Linked DNA regions of Drosophila melanogaster. The protein of the gene in region 3 purifies or fractionates together with the protein of the main gene of each other region. This does not show direct contact. Each region holds a gene or a part of one and is shown on either strand. Other genes may lie near its edges. The genes, in order: c12.1, CG15445, Leash and U4-U6-60K.

What was found.
Region 1: the proteins of Leash (region 3) and c12.1 purify together in Drosophila melanogaster (affinity purification with mass spectrometry, with the first as the bait; one large-scale study listed by BioGRID). This does not show direct contact.
Region 2: the proteins of Leash (region 3) and CG15445 purify together in Drosophila melanogaster (affinity purification with mass spectrometry, with the first as the bait; one large-scale study listed by BioGRID). This does not show direct contact.
Region 4: the proteins of Leash (region 3) and U4-U6-60K purify together in Drosophila melanogaster (affinity purification with mass spectrometry, with the first as the bait; one large-scale study listed by BioGRID). This does not show direct contact.

The regions. Positions count from the first base shown.
Region 1 is NC_004354.4:9,316,899-9,320,986, forward strand, and holds c12.1 (c12.1), read right to left. Parts: upstream 2,326-4,088; 5' UTR 2,225-2,325; coding exon 2,094-2,224; intron 2,031-2,093; coding exon 1,382-2,030; 3' UTR 1,017-1,381; downstream 1-1,016. Other genes in the region: c12.2, read left to right, coding at 2,594-2,786, 2,919-2,969, 3,187-3,614, 3,689-4,009, 4,069-4,088. UniProt on the Drosophila melanogaster protein: Involved in pre-mRNA splicing.
Region 2 is NC_004354.4:21,114,921-21,121,413, reverse strand, and holds CG15445 (uncharacterized protein), read right to left. Parts: upstream 4,254-6,493; 5' UTR 4,010-4,253; exon of another isoform or gene 3,952-4,009; 5' UTR 3,919-3,951; coding exon 3,799-3,918; intron 3,099-3,798; coding exon 2,643-3,098; intron 2,553-2,642; coding exon 1,752-2,552; exon of another isoform or gene 1,667-1,751; intron 1,636-1,666; coding exon 1,156-1,635; 3' UTR 970-1,155; downstream 1-969. Other genes in the region: unc (uncoordinated), read left to right, coding at 5,071-5,380, 5,674-5,958, 6,074-6,493.
Region 3 is NT_033777.3:10,883,374-10,888,848, reverse strand, and holds the start of Leash (leash), read right to left. Parts: upstream 3,310-5,475; 5' UTR 2,877-3,309; coding exon 2,762-2,876; intron 1,505-2,761; exon of another isoform or gene 1,190-1,504; coding exon of another isoform or gene 539-1,189; exon of another isoform or gene 506-538; intron 1-505. Other genes in the region: Ak3 (adenylate kinase 3), read left to right, coding at 539-1,189; CG14696 (uncharacterized protein), read left to right, coding at 4,015-4,129, 4,935-5,302, 5,362-5,475.
Region 4 is NT_037436.4:17,511,167-17,516,306, forward strand, and holds U4-U6-60K (U4-U6 small nuclear riboprotein factor 60K), read right to left. Parts: upstream 2,747-5,140; 5' UTR 2,616-2,746; coding exon 954-2,615; 3' UTR 689-953; downstream 1-688. Other genes in the region: CG7564 (uncharacterized protein), read left to right, coding at 3,302-4,564.

The DNA.
Region 1 (4,088 bases), on a different chromosome or scaffold from region 3:
GGCAGGCTAATTTTGTTTGATTTTGATTCAGATCGAATTAGCGTAAAATTGAGCGTTCGTCAACTTTTGGGAGCGGGGTCGCGACCACTCACTGATCCCTGCCAGCGCCAAGGGGGGGTGGCAGGCATCCAGTCGGATGAAGATTCAGGTTGGGATTTAGATTCGAACTCGCAGGCGGAACGTGGGCTCATTGACAAAGTCGGAGTTCAGATCATCAGATGGCGCAGGCCGCGTGCGGGGCATTAAAGAGGCGTGGAAATCAAGACCCACCGGATGATTTGCATTCGCAGTGGCTTCTGCTGCACTGGAAACAATTATCACTTCGATTTTGAACTTTTAAATGAGAAATAAACAGAGTGCGTTAGAATTTGTACAGGTATTCTTGCGCATTGCCCATCTAAGCATTTTTCAATCAAATTTGATGGATATTATGCAGCTGCTGTAAAATTAATTTTTAATGTTTTACCTGCATTTCGAGCAGTGTAGCTCTCGGCGTAATTGACCAAGTTATTCTGCGCTTGCTTGGCCCGGCTCCTTGGGGCAAATTGATTTTGCTTCGTGCCTCATCAGCAGCGACAATTGCCCTTGCCCTGATCGCCATGATGATTGGGCTTCCTGCGCTTCTTGGGCACTTCTTCGTGCGCTCACGTAGCAGCTACCCCTCTCGCCCCTCTTTCCAGCGCTTACCCTTTTCCCTGACCCTGACCCCCCTTGACATCCTGGCCCGCCGCCTCTGGTGGCTGCTGCTGTTGTCCCTCGACCGGCTACCGATGTTTTTTGCGGTTTCACACTTTGGTTAAGGTTCCTGCCCTTCGCACTCGGACTTCCACTCGCGGTCAGCCGCCAGTCATTGGGTCACAGCCCGCAGAAGGAAGATGGCCCAAAGTGCCTATTCGTCAAATAAAGTCGACCTCAATACGAATTGCTAAATAATATGAGTGTATGAGTAGGTTCTTATTTGGATTTTTAACCAAACACAAAGTATACAAAGCAATAAACCAATCGCCTATGGAACTATTCTGGCTAGCATTCCATTTAATTATTCCAAAAATTAATTACATAAGAAAGATCTTATACATACTAAAAAATATGTTTCTCGTTTAAAGAAATTTATCATTCACTGTTCAAAAGAAAACTGAAAAACTTAAAAAGCAAATGCCTTACAAAATGGTCAGTTTGCTACGTACGAAACCAATCGGTATTTAGCTTAGAAAGATTGTTTATGATTATTGGATATCAGAGTTATCTTACAAAATACGAAATTTAATGAACAGCTTGTGGGGGGAGGGGTGAAAGGACAAAGAGGGTTGACAATTGTTTTACTTAAACTATTACAAAAAAAGAGCGCGGCTGAAACTTGAGAGCGAGTCCCAGATGCTGCCTACTTAATGTACTTGTCCATGAACTTCTTGTGGAAATCGGAGCGCAGGGCGTCATTGACGAAGTGCGTCTTCTTATCGGGCGCAGATCTGGCGCAATTCTTAAAGACCACATCATCGTCCCAGCGGCGCTTTATCTTTAGATCACCGCCCAGTCCAGAGGCACGTCCCGCTGCCGAGGCGGCGGTGCCGGGCTCATAGTTCATCAGTGGATTGCCGGACAGGATGTTCTCCATGCGTATGCGTTCGTCCTCCTGCTTCTTTTCCGACTCGCGACGCGCCGTCTCCTGCAGACGTTCCTGCTTGATCTTCTGCAGCTCGGCCAGCAGGGCGGCATCATCGTCATCGGAATCGCTGTCCGAATCGGAGCTATCGTTGTCCAGCGGCTCATCGGCGTCCATATTGGCGGCCTGCTGCTGAGCCGCCTGCTGCGCTTGCTGCTGCCCTGCGTCCGGCTTGGAACGCTTTGCGGCACTGCTGCCACCGCCGGCGTTGTTCGCCTCAATCGCCTTGCGTACAATGGAGGGCAGTGCCTTGCCCGACGACGACGAAGTGGCTCCCGTTCCGGAGCGCGCCTCACGTTCGCGCTCCTCCAGCTCCTTGCGGAAGTCACGGTTGCGGTTCTCATCGCTGGTGCCCTGGCCAGTCTCCCTGCGCAAACACAAGTTCTCGTTAGACAAGGAAATTGTTATGTGGGCTACTATTAATCCTTACCTGTATTTCAGTTTCGTGTGGCCTGGCAAATCGCGACTGGAGTACTGCTTGCTCAGTGCACTCAGATCCTTTTCGCCGCGACCGGATCCTCCGCGGGCTGGATCGAAGGTCGGACGCGCTGCTGTGGTCATTTTCAACTAGCTAGTTATGCGTTTAATTGTTAAATTGATGAAAAGTGAAATGAATTTCCGAACTGCGTGCTTTGTTTGATGTATCAACAGTACCAATAATCGAGCCGTACCACGGTCACACTGACCGATAGGCCTTTCGATACACGCTTAGTGCGGACTTTAACCGTGATAAGGGCGGCTATTGCTGGGCATCACTGGAACATCAGCTGTGCGCACCAATGGGCAGCATTGTTACGGTAAACACGCGCGGAGCACCGCCGTTTTATCCGACAAACAAAAAAACGCTGAAAAACAAAACTTTTCGGCAACTTGAAGCGATTTTAAGTTTAGTTTAGCCAACCCCCTGCTATCCATCCCCCACCGACGGCCATGCTGGCCAATTTGCGCGCCTGCAGCGGCCACCTGTTGCATCACAGCCTCCGAAATGCAAGAATTCCACGACGAAGCTGGGCGAGCACGACTGCTGGCAAGGATCAGCCGGAGGAGGACAGCCTGACCATCGGCGATGTGAGCGTGCGGCTGCGCAAGCCCAAGGATCCGCAACTGGTGCCGCAGCAATACGGTGAGCAGGGGGATGCCGGGAAGTGGGAAGCCAAGATCTCTGGACAGTGCAAAGGTCAACATAAAGATCTTGGTGCCGCAGAATTATTTCATCATTATCATTATATCATGTCATTATATCATCTTTGAGTAGCAGACACATCAAGGATTAAAGAGACCACGGATCTAAAGCGAAGGAATGAATGTAAAACTCATGGTCATCGAGAAAAGACCACTATAATCTCAAGAAAATTCCTATGTGAAAACAAGCTACATGCTATATTTCATAATTGGCCAAATCGACAAATTATATGAGGCACAAGCTATCCGAACTCGAGACTTAATAAACTCTGTATTTGGAGGACCAAATGATTTATGTTTTAACACGAACCTTTCGTTCTTGTATCCATCCAATCCGATAGTGAAATACGCATCGGATGGCACCCTTCAGCTGTCGCAATCAGCACTGCACCACCTGCGCTGGATGCTGCAGAAGGATGCACTGCGTCAGGACATGTTTCTACTGGGGCAACCGGGTCCGCTGCGCCGCCAGCTGGCCATGCAGTTCCTGGAGCTGACGCAGCGCGAGGTGGAGTACGTGGCCCTCAGCAGAGACACCACCGAGAGCGATCTGAAGCAGCGACGTGAAATCAACGACAGGGCGGCCATCTTCCACGATCAGGGAGCCGTACGAGCGGCGCTCAATGGCCGAGTTCTTGTCCTCGATGGAGTGGAGCACGCGGAACGCAATGTCCTGCCCATACTAAACAATCTGCTGGAGAATCGCGAGATGCACCTGGAGAGCGGCAAGTTCCTGATGTCGCCGGAGCGTTACGATAAACTTCTAGAGGTATGTTAGCTGTTTCCTGTGTGCACGTTCCTAGTCCTCTGAAGCTTGCTAATCCTCATTCTCATTTGTTTTAGAAACACTCGCGGGAGCAGCTGGACGAATGGGGTCTGCTACGCGTATCGGAGCAATTCCGGGTGGTAGCCTTGGGTCTGCCCACCCACAAGTACAAGGGCACGCCACTGGATCCACCGCTGCGCTCCCGCTTCCAGTCCCGCAACGTGACCACATATTCGTACGGCGAGCTGTACGAGGAACTGCAGCAGGAGGCGCCTTCTGTGCCCGGCGAGCAGCTGAAGCAGTTGCTCACCTTCGCCTTGACCCTGCAGCAGGCGGATCCTGTGCTCCAACTGCCCGACTTTCCCATCCACAATCTAGCATTGGGTGTCAAGATGCTGGTAGGTGTACCCCTTCACATTTCCGTATAAAATACTTACTTTTCCTTCTGCTTCTTCAGGCGGCTAATCCCTCTCTGAG
Region 2 (6,493 bases), on a different chromosome or scaffold from region 3:
TAACACCCGACATTCACTCCCACTTGAGGCACGCATGCGACCGCCTTCACTTGGAGAAGGGTTGTTGGGGGTAAATGGGGGTTCCAAGTGGTGCTGGCTCTTTCCAATAGGTGAATGACTGATTGCCAATCGAGAATCGTGAACTATCTATTGGCAATTTAACCATTCTACTTCGATTTGGATTCTTGCTTTAATATAATTTTTTCAGATATAAAGTTTTGTTTCTTCAAATTATATTTTTATGTATATATCACGTGTCTTAGCTTAGCACTATAAAATAAACACAAGTATAGCCACAGACTGTACGATATAGGACATTTTCAGATATTTGAAGAGTATGATAACTACCAAATTCATTTTCCTATCACACCTAATTTCATGAGAGCAAATACTTTTACGGAAAAAAAAATCCAGTTGCTAAATTTTTCATTTCGCCCAACAAGGATGTAAAAACACATGTTTGCAACACATTTGCCGCAGGATACTTTAATCCTATGGCACCGTGCCAATTTGTACAAGACAACATTTTACATACTATTCACTCTGCGAGTAACGTGTATAAATAGAAAATTACTATTTTACACATATGTATGTACATACATATAGAAAACCAATTAGTTGACTTATAATATTTAGTCTTGGTGCTACTTGAATAAATAAATAAATTCTTTGCTAAGCAAAGCAAATACTTACAGCAAATCGTGTAAGTTCCGCTCAATTCGTCGACGGGATGAGCTTAGTGAGCGGCGCCCTTTGGCCTCGACAAGGTCACGACTGAACCCAATCAAGCGCCGCCGTCCGAGCCGGGGTCGAGAGTCAAGCGACAAAAAAAAAAACAAACGATAAAAAAAAAATAAGCAATGACCAGAGGCGCTAACAAGTTTCAGGTGGCTCCAAAAGGTGAATTCTCCCGCTGGCTCGGCGCAATCACATTTTGCAGTTGTCAATAGAAGGCATGTACTTATAAATCTCTATATTTTACTATTTGCCTAGTTGGACAAACAGCAGCCGGGAGGGGAGCTGAATGCCACTTAAGTGCCATTATAAGACTACGATTTGCAATATAGACAAGTCATGATTACAGTTATCTTGACAACCGGTTTCGGGTTTCTATATTTTTTTGTATAGATATAAAAAAGGCAAGTCAAATACAAGCTACTGCTGCAGCATATTGAAATACTCAGTCAGGATCTTCTCCTCCTGGATAAGTGGCAAGTCCAGGTATTCCAGGTCGCTCAGTTTGAGGTCGGAGTTAAAGCGCTCGTAGGCCTTGTACGTTTCAATCTCGACGCGAGCATGATTGATAACAGCTTCGATAATGGGCGCTGGCAAAGCAACTTGCGTCTGCCCGGAGGCGTTCGAAGTAGAGGGGCCGTCAAGATTTTGCCCACCATTTTCGGCCAAACGCCCAACGTGCTTTAAAATCGCTTTCAGCTCCTCCTCGCTCTCTATGGCGCACATCAGACTCTCGATGGCCTCTTCCATGTTATTTGATGCATTCTGTAGGGCCACGCGCGAGTCGTTCTCGTTGAATCCCAGTTGCAGAAGCTGAGCCAGTTTGGTCGTGTCTACGGTGACCGGAAACCATGGCGAAGCACCAGTAAGTTCGTCCGATTCTGTCTGCAGCAGTTCCACCTAAGAAAAAAATATTTCTATTATTTTATAGTTTACAAACACGTGACATCCATGAGATTATAGTTAAAACATACTGATCAATTCATGTCATTGAATATATTCTTGGCCACACTTACCGCTTGGAGGATATCATTATTAGAGCGCTGCAAGGCGATAGTGGCCAGTCCGCTCTCGAATCCCATGTCAGCAAGGCTGCAGACACTGCGGGGATTCACCCAGGTGCAATCTTTGGAATTGGAGCGCTTCAGGCGGCGCTCCATAGCACGCTCGGACGCTTTATATTTCATGCGTGCATTCTTGAGCTGCTGACGACGCTCGTGAATAAACTGAACAGCCTGTTCGACGGCGGTGCCGCCCTTGCAGGAGCGCAGGGCCATACGAGCCTCGGAGGGCTCGAAGCCCATATCGACCAGGAGAGCCAGTTGGTCGTTGTTGATCTTTAGTTCATTTAGCAGAGTTTTAGCCGCTTCGAAGCACTCAAATGCCTGATTGCGAAGATTCTGGTGGAAGAAGATCACGCCCTGGAGCAACTTAAGCCGCATAATTAAAGCCCTCTCGGGACAGTCCTTGCCCTTCAAGGAGTACAGCCTCTCCAAATTGTCGCCATAGCTGATGCCGAAATTGCGACTGCAGCGGGCCAAGCGATGCTCAGCATCCGGGAGCTGGGTAACGTTCTTCAGGCAAAAATAGCACCACACTATGTCGAGGTTCAGCAAAGCATAGTTATCCACGGACTCTAGAAACTTTGAGCCACAGGTAGAAAAATGCTCGTCGGCCTCCAAAAGCAGGAGCAGAGCCTCCTCAAAATGCTTGCGATTCATGGCCGCACGGGCCTTCTCACAGAATCCCAAACCCATGAGCAGGGCTTTATGCTCGGAAGGCGGCAAATACACTTGGCTGCCATTCTGATCCTCCATCTGGGCATGACACGAAAATACAAACAAGTGGTGTGATTTAAAAAACCTTCTAAACAACAACCTAAGCAACTTTCCTTCCGATTTACTCACCTCTATTAGGTTATTCTTCGAGGACACCACCGCCTCCACATCGGCCTTGATGCGATTGATCCTTTCGTACAGGGCTTCGCCAGAATTATCCCCATCGCCCACAATGACAATCAACTGCTGGTTGTTCTTCAACTGCTGGTCGGCCAAAGTGGCATTGGCGGACACCACTTTGCCGGCAGCGATGCACTTGACGTGCGCAGCATTCGGCACTTCCAGTTTCTTCGCTATGCATGCCTGGAGTTCGGAGCCCACGATGTCCAAGCTGCACTTCACTTCCACCATTGTGGCACCGCTGTGCTCGCCAACGCGGCGAACCTTCAACGTGGCAATTCCTGTGGTGCTGAACTCACGTCGGGCGGCCAGCGTACGGAGAGCATTTTCCTGCAGCTCGGTCAAAAAGAACTTGCAGCGACCTATATCGATGCCCAACATGCCGGAGTACTTCTGCGCCAGGTTCTTTAATGAAATGGATACACATCTTATTATAGAATAAAATATTATATATTATATTAATCCAAAGCTACTGAGTTCCTGAGTATGAATGCTGGTAATGTGCTATTCTTTTGACTACTATTGGTCTTACTTTATTTTTAAAATCCCTCAACCTCTATTTATTGAAAAATAAATAATAATTCAAGAAAGCAATCACATTTTCACACGCCAACAAATCTATCGGTTTAAAATCTTATTTTTATTCTAGGCGTTATAAATAAGTCGAAGCGAAACAGATCAAAAACCTATATAAGGAAACTAAATAATATCTTTGTCGTTACTCTTGTAATTCAGAATTATTAAAGTATAATAGGAATTTAAAAGATTCGTTTGTGCAATGTCATGTTGTTTTTTTTTTAAGTATTTTTAATTGGACAATAATATCATATGATCAAACTAATCAAACTAAAATAAGTGTTAATAATATGAACTTAGCTGAAGGTGTATATAAGTTACGGCTTGTCGAAACTAGCTTCTTACTTCTTCAAATGTGAAAAGAACTAACAAATAAATATATAATATATATATATATATATATATATAATATATGCATTTTGAATATAATATTTCTATATTGCCAACCGTATTTCAGGCATTCTTGTCATTTCCCCGACCACTGACTGGAAGGCATTTAGGTGTGGGGTGGTGGGCATATAGTACGTACTTCTAGTGCTCCCTCGATGCTACCAAGATCTTCGGAGTAGTAGGGCTCCTCCCACAGCTTCTCGCCATCGGACTGGAGAAGGGCGCGGATCTGGATGAGTAGGTTGTCGTTTTGTGACATTTTCGACGATGACTTGGCAAAAATTGTGGCGAACTGGCTGAAACTGACGCGTCACAAAGGATCGGGCATGCTCTAGATATTTACTATTTACGAGTGATGTGATGTTCTGGTTCTTCTTCTTCCTTGCACATGTGTTTCTACACGAAACAACAAAGAACGATGCGCAGTCGTTGATAATCGCGGGGTTGGGTGCAGTGGAGTAGACTTTAATTTTGGGCGGGTGACAAATAAGAACTATTTACGGAAATTTATTTAATGTGAACTGTGCTGCGTCTTCGTATGGGATAAGCTCTGCCTGGTGGAATCACCGCAATTGGGTCTTTTTTGTCGTTTGACACAACAACTGCAACTCGATAGCTATCGGCTCTTGCAGCACTCGGCCATCTGTCAGCCACAGCGAAACGCTTGCAAAAGCTGACTGACATGAACGTTCTGCCCGTTAATAGTCAAAGTCTTCAAATTTGGTTTTTTATAAAAACGCATTGGCAAACACAGCTGTGCTTGTTGATTTATATTATATTATTTCTATACCATTTAACGCAAGAAACTCATATTTCAGTTTCACCGTCAGTACGGCTGATGCACTTACTACTTAGCAATCAGCTGTTTTGCGGACAATTATCTATCGATAGTCAACTGCCAACTTTAAAGCGGAACTGTTTTGAATTAAAATTCAAAATATTATTATTGTGAAAAATACACCAAATACACGCTTCCACAAGAAGTATTGCTGTTTTAATATGGGCTCGGCAGTAAATACTGCCGCCGTTATAAGTATTAGTGAGCAATTACTTATGATAAATAAGCTTTTGCTTAGAATACCATTTCATAGAACTCAGTTGTCATATATTTCACTTAATTTTTAGAGCACGCTTCACATAGGCAACACAGCTGACGCCTTTAGGAGGACCAACCCCCGACGATCGAGTTGACCTCCTCCCCAATTTCACTCAGTTCCCAGGTGGCAGGGCAGGCTCCGTCGCACCTGTCACATTTCGCTGTTGGTGGTGAGTGTCTTGCGCTCGTGCTCGTTTTACCTGGAAAGTTCAGTTACTCAAACGCGGCGCATGTAAGCGGCGGTCAGAGGTTCTATCCGAGCATACGCAGACCAACTCTCGATCCCATCCGAGCCTCGAGTTCCTTCAGGACGGCATGAAGGTTCGCCACGTGCCGGCGAGCACGACAACGTTATCGTTCAGGGCGAAGCAGCGGGATGTGGGCGGCATCGGCATGCCTTGCGAGCGGGAGCGGAAGCACGAGGCCGCAAAGCGGGAGCGGGAGGAGCAGATTAAGCAGGAGCGGGCCACAGCGGCGTCGGCGACACAGCGGGTGCGCCAGCATAATCGAAGGATCAGCACCGACGGCGATCCCGCCAGGCGGAGAATGACGCAGTCCAGGGAGCGACTCCAAGCAACCGGACTGGGCAGACCAGGACCGTGCGGACCATCAAATATAACTAGAGGTGGGCCTATTATTTTTATAATAATATTAATATTTTTATTATTATTATTATAAGTATTATTATTATTATAACTATTATTATTATTATTATAATAATTATTTTTATTATTAATATTATTATTATAACTATTTTTATTATTATTATTATAACTCTAAGAAACCAGCAATCTTTATACTCCGACGTACACAAATTTGTTCGAAAAATAATCTTTTCAAATTAAAATATTCAGTACAATAAACCTTTACGAACTTAATAGCGATTCATATTCACTGATAATCCCATTTTGTGTTCAGTAACGCGGGGATCATCATTGCCCCCGGAGGTTGGAGCACACGGATACCGCACAGGAAGGCCTACCAGAAAGCACGTACCTATTCCTCAGGATCAGATTGAGGAGCAGGATGACTCCGATGCCAGGGCGGAACGGCTGAGGCAACAGCTCGAGGAACTGGCCGCGATGTCGGAGCAGGAGTTCGAGGTGAAGTTCCGCCAGTGGCTGGACCAGGAGGGGATTGCCCGGGAGATGCACTCTCACCTGCGGGTGGAGCTCATTCACTGCTTCAATAATACGGCACTCGGTGGGTTTGCTAATCAAACTAATGAAAGATATTTTACTATTTGGCATCTCAAAGTTTATTGAAAACCCCCTTTTTAATTTATTAATCGATCTAACCATAAATGTACCCGTTCCAGGCCAGCTCTTGAGCAAGGCTGCTGGTGTGCAGATGGCTCAGTCCCACGCACTGCTCGTCTCGCCACTGGCGATGGTGCTGCACACTCTGGTGGCGGAGTTTCTGCACTCCCAGAACTGCCACTTCACACTGTCGGTCTTCTGCAGCGAGACGCCGCATCGCAGCAACCTGCCGGACTTCCGGAGTCGGCCGGAGTTCCGATTCCAGACGGAGGAACTGCAGAAGGTCGTGGCCGCCATACTGGGAGAAAAAGAAGCTCTAGCGGATTCGGAATTTGGAAAGCTGGCGGAGGCCCACTACGAGGAGGATCTGGCTGGACAAACGCAGTGCTTGCTGATGGCTCTTATGCGAACGCTGGTGGAGATCAGGAGGTCCGTGCCTAAGCAGGAGGTGGAACAACCGGTCCCTGTCTCTCTGCAAG
Region 3 (5,475 bases):
TATCTGGTTATACATGAAGACAAAGAACATAAGGCTGAAAAGCCACGCTTGTCTCTTCTGTTTGTTGTTTTTGCTGGTGGCGCTCTTTTAAGTGTTTGCGCTACACTTGTTACCAAGCGGCATGTTGGTTCACGAGCACAAAAGCTGACAAGTGATTTAGTGTTATATTTACCCACTCTTTATTGCCGTGTTCGCTCACAAATTGAATGGAATCATTGGTTGGATTCCCGTGATTAGTCACACATAAAACACATAAGCTTTAGCGAAAACTATGACCTTCATCACCTCTGTATCAAACAATTGTGGCGTGCTTGATAGTCTTATCGCCCATAAAAGTAGTCGAGTATGGTCAACTGAAATAATTTTGGTTTTACTGCCAAGATTATATGTTATTGACCCTAAATCAAAATATAAAAACAGATCCTATATTAAATAGATAAACCGAATTTTTTTATCATATCATATTAAATTTAACCATGTATCAATTCAATTTTTTGTCTTGCAGCTCAAGGAGAGGTTGAAGAACTAGAGCTTAGACATGTTTACGAAAATCTTTCGCGCTGTGATAATCGGAGCCCCCGGCTCGGGCAAAGGAACTATTTCGGAATTGATCTGCAAGAACCATGGATGTGTGCACATCTCCACGGGGGACATTCTGCGCCAGAACATCATAAAAAACACAGAACTTGGAAAAAAGGCCAAGCAGTACATTGCTGAAGGTAAACTGGTGCCCGACGCGATTGTGACCAAGACGATGCTGGCCCGGATAACCGAGGTAGGCAACAGGTCGTACATCCTAGACGGATTCCCGCGCAATATAGCCCAGGCCGAGGCACTGGCTGCACGCGAGCAAATCGATGCCGTGATCACGCTGGACGTTCCACATAGTGTGATTATCGACCGGGTCAAGAATCGCTGGATCCATGCGCCCTCCGGCAGGGTGTACAATATTGGCTTCAAGAATCCCAAAGTGCCTGGCAAAGATGATGTGACGGGGGAGCCGCTGATGCAACGCGAAGATGATAAACCCCATGTGGTGGCCAAGCGACTGGAGCTCTACGATGAGGTGATGAGCCCGGTAATAGCCTGGTACGAAAAGAAGGGTCTGGTTGCCACTTTCAAGGGAAAACAGACAAAGGAGATCTGGCCGATGATGGAGCTTTTCCTCAACGACCGCATAAATGCGTAATGGAGCAACCCCGAAATTACATCCAATGTGCACAAACTAACGATAAACTGCTGTGTTCAATTAAGTGCATAATATATTTAGATATATATAAATGAATACGTATGAAATATGTATGTTTGTGGGCCGGTTAAGAGGAACAGGCGTATAATTAATGTAATTGCGAAGCCTTACACAGTAGCAGCTGTCATGTATTCCTTCTTCCACAGATATCATTCCCCTCATGAGCATGTCTTGCAGCTCCCCCCTTTTTTGTATAAACATATTTTTGTACTCGTATTCTGTGCTCTGATAATAAATCGCGTTTTTTATATATATAAATATATATATATATGCGCTGATAACAGCCGACTTTGACTTTTGGGCAGTTAACGGACAGCCGTCGATCTATTTTTAGGCAATGTCCACAAACCCTTGGCCCCATGCGTGAAGCCAACACTTTTAGCTTCACCTCATGACACCCAAATGCCCTTCATTTTATCGCGTAGCGCATTAATTTCTAAAAAATATGGGATAGTGTGGCGCTCCCGTTTAGTCTCGCGCTCTCTTACTCACACATGCACGGACCAGCTGCTGTTCTCACGCACACCTGTATAGTGGCAAATCACAACAGAGAGGCGCTTGTACAGTCAAGGGCGCCCAATTATGTCAGATTTAAAATTCTTTAAGTCATTTATAAAAAATTCAATAAACCACTTATTGTTTTAAAGGTATACTTCATAATAAAATGGAGATAGCTGTTTGCCTTTTAAACACTATACTTCGGAATATACCATTACTGGGAATCTTATTTCTGGATAATTAAAAAAAAAAACCTATATAAACCCCTTTGTGGCCACCACTGTGCTGCGAGCGCCCTCTCACCTCTCTCTCATTTAGACCCGACTTGCGCTTGGCCCAATATTACGGCTTTTTCGGCACGCCAACTGAGTGTGCCTCTCTTCGCACATGCCCCCACCGTCTACACTCCCCTCTCGCGCGATGCGTTTGGGTTGGCATTTCCTGAAACAAATGCCAGTACTCAAGAATCGTGAAGAACGAAAAGAAATTCAATTGCAATTGCAACGGGCGGCAATTGAAAGCTTATCGATGAATGAAAGGCGAGCGCCGAAGGCAATTAGAGGAATTTGCGAGCAAGAATCTCGAAATTGCGGTGAAGCGGAGGGGGAGGAAGCCCCATAAAATGGCCGCTGTGCTTTGTTAACTGATGGAGTTCTTTGTTTATGCGAATGGGGCCGCAACGAAAGTCCAGCTGACCATCGGGCGGACAATGGATTGCAAACCGCTGACAAAACAGAAAAAAGCACATTTCTATTTGTGGAGTACATGATGGGTTGTGCAGAAAACCATCTTTGTTAATATTAGATTACTATATCTAAGCTAAATCTTTTCGGTAATACGATCTATATGTACACATGTAAACAATACCCAGAATCATAAACTAAGAGCCTAACGTTAAATGTAGGGTTTTGAAACACTTTCTCTGCGTGTCTACAGCTGAGTCATGGATGATGCAAGCCGAGCTTTGAGATGTGCATTCCAGGAAGCGGCAAGTTATGCTCGACTGGCACTTACCGCGTATTTTGGTGCGCTTGTTGACGTTCATCCAGATCTCGCCGCGAATTATGTCGCCCGCAAAGTAAACCCGATCCGCGCTGTCCAGCGTGATTCGCAGCCGCTCGCTTTCCATTCCGCTGGCGTTGATGGTGATGACTCCTCCGGTTTGGCCACTTTCCTCACGCACTTATCCAAAAATAATTTCGTCATCAAAATGCCGCCACATACAAACGTACATGGATGCACTGCAGCACCACGGCCCGCACCACCCTAAAGTATATGCAGAATAGTAGCACCACCACACGCACTCGCCTCACGATTTACGATTTGATGTTACTACACACACCGCGCGGTGAGTGGGAGCTTTTTCGCGCTGATTGTGGCCAGTTCTTGGGGAATCTCGATATCCATCAATTCGCAATGGCCCACAAGTGTTGGTCGCACACCCCGGGCTAATTTAATTCGATTGCTGTCGTCCGCTGGCGGGTTGAATAATTAAATTTCTTATAAATTTACGAGATCCGTGAGTTACGCTTTTTTGTTGTAGCTGCAGCTCTCTTTCGATAACCGTGAGAGCGGCGGTCCGATAGCACGAACAGCTGTTGCGCGGTGCTGCCACCGGGCGCCTGGCCAGCTGAAGCGGTTAATTCGCAGACTTTTTAATCGGTATTTTCAAATGTGTCTAATTTAAAGTTTAAGTTCTAAACAGCGTTTCTTAAATGCACTGTTTTCAGTTGTAATGCAAGAGTTCAGAAATGCTTGGTAGTAATGGTCTTTTTTTATGGTTTGATGTTTGAAAAGAGAAGAAGAAACTCTCTGTTTGAATATCGCCAATAATTTAAGTTGATATATTTCACTACGAATAATAATTACCAAATATTTTACTGTATAGATAACAAAACGCTCAGCTTAGATGTCAGCGATGATTGAAGCATACATACATATTTTATTAAGATTAAACTTTAGTTGGCTTAGCAGCATAATGCTCCATATAGTATTTCGTGTGCTTCCCCGTTCTGTCCTTCGCTTCTTCTTCTTGTAACCTCTCGCGCACAAAAGTTTGCTTCTCGGTTCTTCGGTCTCACCAAAGACTTTTGAGAATTCAGTATTAAGCCAGAGCTGCTCGCGTTCGGAGCTTGCGAGCTGAGTCGCCGGAACCCTCGAATACATCGAATCCCTACCTCTTCCACCAACTATCAATAAAACAAACAAAGGAACTTGATAGCGCGATACCACCCGACACCGTCGCCAAGGAGCCAATTCTGGACAGGATGAGCAGCAAGGTGAACTTCGTCTTCGACAGCAATCCTTTGGGGCTCTATCAAGCCGGTCAGCTTATCTCCGGCACGGCGGAACTGATTACGGAGCGCCCCAAGACGATTCGATGTAAGTGACACCGACATGCGGAAGAAGACGCACTACATACATATGTATTCTAATGGACTCGAAACCATGACGTCATCCCCCTCCATCACCATTCAAATTCTGAATCCCATACCGTTTTACCATCCACTAATAAATAAATATCCACTTAATATTGTTGGTGCTTTGTTATCCGCTGGTTTAATGTTATTGTTGCCGGTAGATATGCTTGAAAGATGTGTATTGTATATACAAATGTACATATATGTATGTATACATAAAGTTTATATACAACACACATGTGGCCGCTTGGCTGGCTGGCGGATATCTGATAGCGGCGTAAAAACTAGTTTTGTTTTGAAATTGCGTACGCTGTTTGTATTATTAGATATTTGATTCAGTTACTGGTCAGCCCGTTCGTGCCAATACCTTTAAATTGTAGTGTATAGGTAGCATTTTGGGTCAATTAGGCGTAATTCATGCAGATATACATATATATATAAATTTATACAAATCCCATTAGCAAGCTAAGTGGACCCTAGCCATCGGTTCAAATTCAAATAATCAAATATTTCCTAGGGTATCAAATAGTCGAGCCTTAGCAGCGCTTTAATTTGATGGTGAACTTTATTAGGTAGCATTCGTTTTTTTTATGCTTCTGATTAAATTATTGTTAGTTCATTAACAAAGACAGTTGTTTGTAGCTGAGCAATTTTCCAATACAATTCTACATCCGAAACACACAAAAGGTCCAAGGTCAATGGCAATTAAACTAAATGCATAATTGAATTACATACCCGGCAGTACAGACAAATTAATCCAATTGCAGCGATCTTTATAACCATAAATGGATACGGCGAGACGCGTTGGCAGGAAAGCGAGGAGCGAGTGGGAGAGGATGGGAAGACGACCAAGTCCCTGGTGACCCACACCACCACCGAGGTCTACTACAGCACTGACCAGCCGGTTTACGGCCAGGCCGGTGGCTCGCAGCTGGAGTTGCCCACCGGCAAGTACGTCTTTCCCTTCCGGGCTACCATTCCGCCCAATGCACCCACCTCATTCAATGGTGCTCATGGTCAGATTAAGCACGAGGTTACCCTAACCATCGATCGCGCGGTTCGCTACAACAACACATTTAAGCAGTGCTTCACGGTGATCCTGCCACATGATCTTAATAGGCGGCTCGAGTATAAGGTATGTAGTCTTGGTTGTTCTTCCAAACTGAATAACCTTATGAAGCGCACTTCCCTTAGGAACCCCTCCAACGCTTGGAGTCGAAGAGCTTCTGGTGGGGCTCCATTTTCGGTGCCCACAAGCCGATGATCATGGACGTGAGCACCTCTTATTCTGCCTACGTCCCCGGCCAG
Region 4 (5,140 bases), on a different chromosome or scaffold from region 3:
TAGTTATCATTTGTCTAGTTTGTTAGCCTAGTGCAAGAGTTATGTATTTAGTTAAGTGGCATCTTCGAGCGTCGGGAGACCTCATTCAAATCCACATTAGAACGCGCTCGTCCAGCTCCCGCTCCCGATCCTGCTCCAAATCCCAGCACCATATTCTACATGAAGCCCATGGATTGCGATTTGAATCCTTGTAAATCTCAACGCGAAACAATGAAATGAAATTCTAGACATTATCTAACGTCATGCATGAGCGTAGTTAATCGACGAGCTAATACTACAAACTGATCGACAATTGTGCAAAGTGCAAGAAAATTTATGAATCCTTATGTGTAAACTATATGTAACAGTTATATCGCGATGTATGTAATCTATAATTAATATATTAGACATACACTTACATGTATGTATGTAATTGCAACCTATCTGTGGTAGTTAAATTTTAGTTAAAATTCAAATTAATTGTCTAAGTTTGTCATACAACAAATATATACGAAAAGAAATTAAATGGAAAACTATATACAAGTAATAAAAACAGATGTTTAAATATGAGGATGGGCTGCTCAAGGATAATTAAAAAATGAAGAGGAAAAGTTGCTAGTTATCCTTACTTATAAATTAGAAACAAGTTGTAGGCTGATTAGTTGTTGGGCCAGTAAATCCTTTCCCAATTTTAAACCCGTTTAAAATTCAATTCTCTACCAAAAATGTATTTTTTATTAACAATTTCAATAAAAAAGTCTTAAATTTACGAAATGCAACATCGCTGCATCTGCCTTTCGCCTAACAAAAACAACAAATTGTGTTATACAAAACGAAAACTTGAAATGTTTTGGGCTATTGTCTCTGAAATAACAAAAACAGTTGATGAGTAAGTCGTGCCCAGCGGGCAGATCGCAAGTGGAGATTGTCTGCGTACGCCCACAGGTGAGTACAATAAAGTAATGGTATCAAAATCAGCTATCCGGCGACCACAGCTTAAATGTGCGGTCAAATGAGGTCGTGGCTATATACTGCGAGTTGGGCGCGATGTCCACCGATATGACCTTGTTGTCGTGGCCCTGCAGCGTCTTCAACGGCTGCCACGTCTTGTTGGACCAGATCTTGGTGGTCGAGTCGTAGGAGCAGGTGACCAGGAAGCTGCCGCACTCCTGCTGGTACTTCACGTCCGAAATCAGATTGGTGTGCGCAGGAATGGTATAGACCGGCTGGCGTCGCCTCAGGTCCCAGATTTTACATGTGTTGTCCTGGGACCCTGTTGCTATGTGGAATCCGTTTGGAGAAAAGTCCACGCCGAAAACGGCGCCCAAGTGTCCCTCCAGAAACATGATGCACCGCCCAGTGCGCAGATCCCACACTCGTCCAAAGGCATCCAGACCGCCGGTGACCAGGACACTGCCGTCGGAATGATAGCTAAGGCAGTGAACCGGCTTTGCGTGCCCTTCCTGGTGAAGCACCTCTGTCTTTTGCTCCAGATCCCACAGCCGCCAGCTAGAGTCGTAGCAGGCGGTGGCCAAGAAGCGGCCGGAAGGATGGAAGGCTACCTTAGAGACGCGATGCGGCATGTGGCCGGTGATGTCGGCAATCGACTCTTCGTTGTTGAAGCCCCACAGCTTGACGGCGCCATCGTGGCCACCGGAAGCCATGGCCACCACGTTCTCCTCGTCTGCCTTAACTCCCGGCCGCAGAGCCACTCCGCCCACATAGCTGGCATGTCCACGCAGCGTCTGCTTCAGCTCGCAATCGGGCACGCTCCACAGCTTGCAGAGACCCGACCATGAGGAGGTCAGAAGGAGTGAGGAGTCTTCACTGAAGGCAGCACTACTCACGGGCCGTGTGTCACCCACCTGGGAGCACAGTGGAGCCAGCGACTGGAGCTTCTTCTGCATCTCCACCATTCGGCCGGCACGTGCTGCGCTGGGCACTTCAAGGGCCTCACGTGCTCGTACCAAGCGATCCTTGGCGCGCGGCAGGGAATAATCCGCCAGCCAGAGTCGAGCGATACGCAAACTATCGGGTCCCTCGTGGTACCAGGTGGCCTGATCCTGCTCCCGCTGTTGCTGCTTGCGCTCCTCATCCTCATACTGCCTCTTGTTGATGGCGTTCTCGCCCAATCCAGCCAAGAGTTCCTTAAGACGTCTTCTTCGCTCCGCCGGTCCTTCTCCAAAATAGCAAATGGGTTCGTTTAGCTGGCGCAGATTGCTCTTGATCTCCGTGTCGTCTGTGGACACATTTATCTGTCGTGCTCGCTTTTTCCGCTCAAATTCCTCAAGGAGCGCCACCTTGTCGCGCTCCATTTCCATCTCTAGATCGAAGTAGTCATCGTCAATTTTGTTGGCCAGAGTAGCGGCTGTGGGTGGTGGTGCTCCGGCCTGCTTGGCGTTGCTTGTCTTTTTCGTGGACTCCTCGTAATCCTCATCGGAATCGATGTCTTCCAGTTGCCCGCCTGTTCCAGTTGTTGTTGTTCCTGCCCCAGACGATGCCGTCGTTCCCGATGTTGTTGTTGCTGCTGCCCCAGACGCCGCGGCATTTTGCCGCTTGCGTTCCGATTCCTCGAGCGATCCATAGTGCAGCGTTCGCTGCCGCTTAATGTACTGTATATCGTCGTCATCGGACATCGTTGCGGCCAGCAAACAAGTGCAAAATAATTAATTTTAAAATAAAATTTCGCCGAAACAACGAAGAAACAACAAAAAATATTGCCGTAAAGAAAACGTTTTGCTGCCTAGTGTTGAGCAACGCCGAGAGGGGTGGTTTAGTGATGCCATCACCGATGTTTAGAGCGGTATGCAGCGAATAAGCAATAGTTTTTAGATCGATATTGTTTGTTGTTTATTGTTAAATGAACGGTTTTTGAAACTCTAAATTATATTTAAAACAATAACTATTTAAAACTGAAACTTTATTCCACGTGTTTAATAAAATTTTATATTAAGATCGCGATATACCGTTATTAGAGAGAACTACATTTGTTCTTGGAAATTAAATGATGTGCCTTTGTTTTTTATTTAATCATTTAATCAACAATAATCTATATACTTGGATCTGAACAAAAGCCGTTACTCCCAGAAACCGTGACTTTTCACCGATATATCGCCTACTCGTGCTTCACAGCACTGTTTTTCAGCACTACCCCATTTTAGAACATCCTCACGCACGCACGCACAGAATTTTCTTAGGTGATTAAAAGTGAGTGAAAATTGAGAATTTCCACACGCGTCGCACGCTATTGGTCACAAAGCCAGTGAGATAGCTGTCACTGCCACCGCTGCAGCATTTTTCACGCGCTCCTGGCCAGAAGGATATGAGCGCGCCGAGCAACAAAATGTCGGCCACCGATCAGATGCGAGCAATGCTGGACCAGCTTATGGGTACCACACGGAATGGCGACGAGCGCCAACTGAAATTCTCGGACCCCAGGGTCTGCAAGTCCTTTCTGCTCGACTGCTGTCCGCACGACATCCTGGCGTCCACGCGCATGGATCTCGGTGAGTGTCCCAAAGTGCATGACCTGGCTTTCCGCGCAGATTACGAAAGTGCCGCCAAGACGCGCGACTACTACTACGACATTGAGGCCATGGAACACCTGCAGGCCTTTATTGCCGACTGCGATCGACGCACCGACTCCGCCAAGCAAAGGTTGAAAGAGACCCAGGAAGAGCTGACCGCCGAGGTGGCTGAGAAGGCCAATGCTGTCCATGGCCTCGCCGAGGAGATTGGCAAGAAGTTGGCCAAGGCCGAGGCCCTGGGCGAGGCCGGCGAAGTGGAGGACAGCATGGAGCTGATGAAGGAGATCGAGGAGCTGCGTGCTAAGAAGATCAAGGCCGAGCACGAGTACCGCACATCTATGCCCGCATCCACCTACCAGCAGCAAAAGTTGCGCGTCTGCGAGGTATGCTCCGCCTACCTCGGGATTCACGACAATGACATACGTCTGGCGGACCACTTTGGTGGTAAGTTACATCTCGGATTCCTCACTATCAGAGAAAAGCTGATCGAACTGGAGAAGACGGCGGCGCCGCGGAAGGCGGAGCTCAAGCGGACGGGTAAGATGACGGACCGCGAGGACGAGGGACGCGGACGCAATCGCTACTTTGTAGGTGGTCGTGAACTGGACCGCCGCTCTCGCGTACATCGTTCCCGCTCCAGAGAACGACAGCGCAACCGGGATGGGGACCGCGAACGCCCCAACAACGGACGCGGTCCTGAGGAGAAGGGGAGTGAGCGACCCAAGGAAGCGGCAGATGGTCCGGAGCGAGCCGAAAGGGCACCAGATCGTGGAGGACGGCGAGATGACAGGGACAACCACGGCAGGGATCATCGCGAACGGGAACGCGATGGCAGGCGGGATCGGGACCGACATGGACGCAACGACAGAGGACGCTTTGGTGACAGAGGCGGCGGTGGAGGAGGCGGTGGCCATCACCGTGACGACAGACGCCGCTCAAGGTCCAGGGAACGCTCGCCACGCGAACGGCGGAACTTTAACCACTTCAGGGATGGTGGTGGCGGCGGAAATGGCCAGCGCAAACGATCCTACTCCCGTGAGCGCAACTACCGCCGCTAGGCTAGAATCCCGCCCAGCGCACGTACGTAGCATTAATCACATGAACTATAATGCCACCACAAATTGAACTACTGAAAACAACAGGAACCGAATATTCTTAGCGTAACCAATAAAGCAACCTAGAGCCACACTTTCGACGCTCCAATATGAAGATACAACTACCTTTGTACATTTTTAATAATTTAATTGATTTCTATTTTTGATCTTGCGTTCCAACCTCTAATGACAAATTTTTGTTACTACCCCAAAGTAAACCGAACGCAGTCCAAGACCCCAGCCTCAATAAAAACTTTAAGAGAAACGATATACTCGATATAATGCGATTGAAATTATATAGTCCCCGTCCAGTCCAGTGTACTTGGCACGTAGAGACAGAAACCCAAACAGAAAATAGAAATCCCAACGAATCGGCAGTGTTGTCAATTAAAGTTCAGTTCATTGTAATTCGGTTAGGACACAGCGGCAGTCAAGTTAAAGATAACTAATTTATAAGGATTCAGAGCAGGAGAAACGTTTAATATATGATATTTTGTGTGTTGTATAGCTAGCTACAAGTTGGTAACATTGACTGAAACC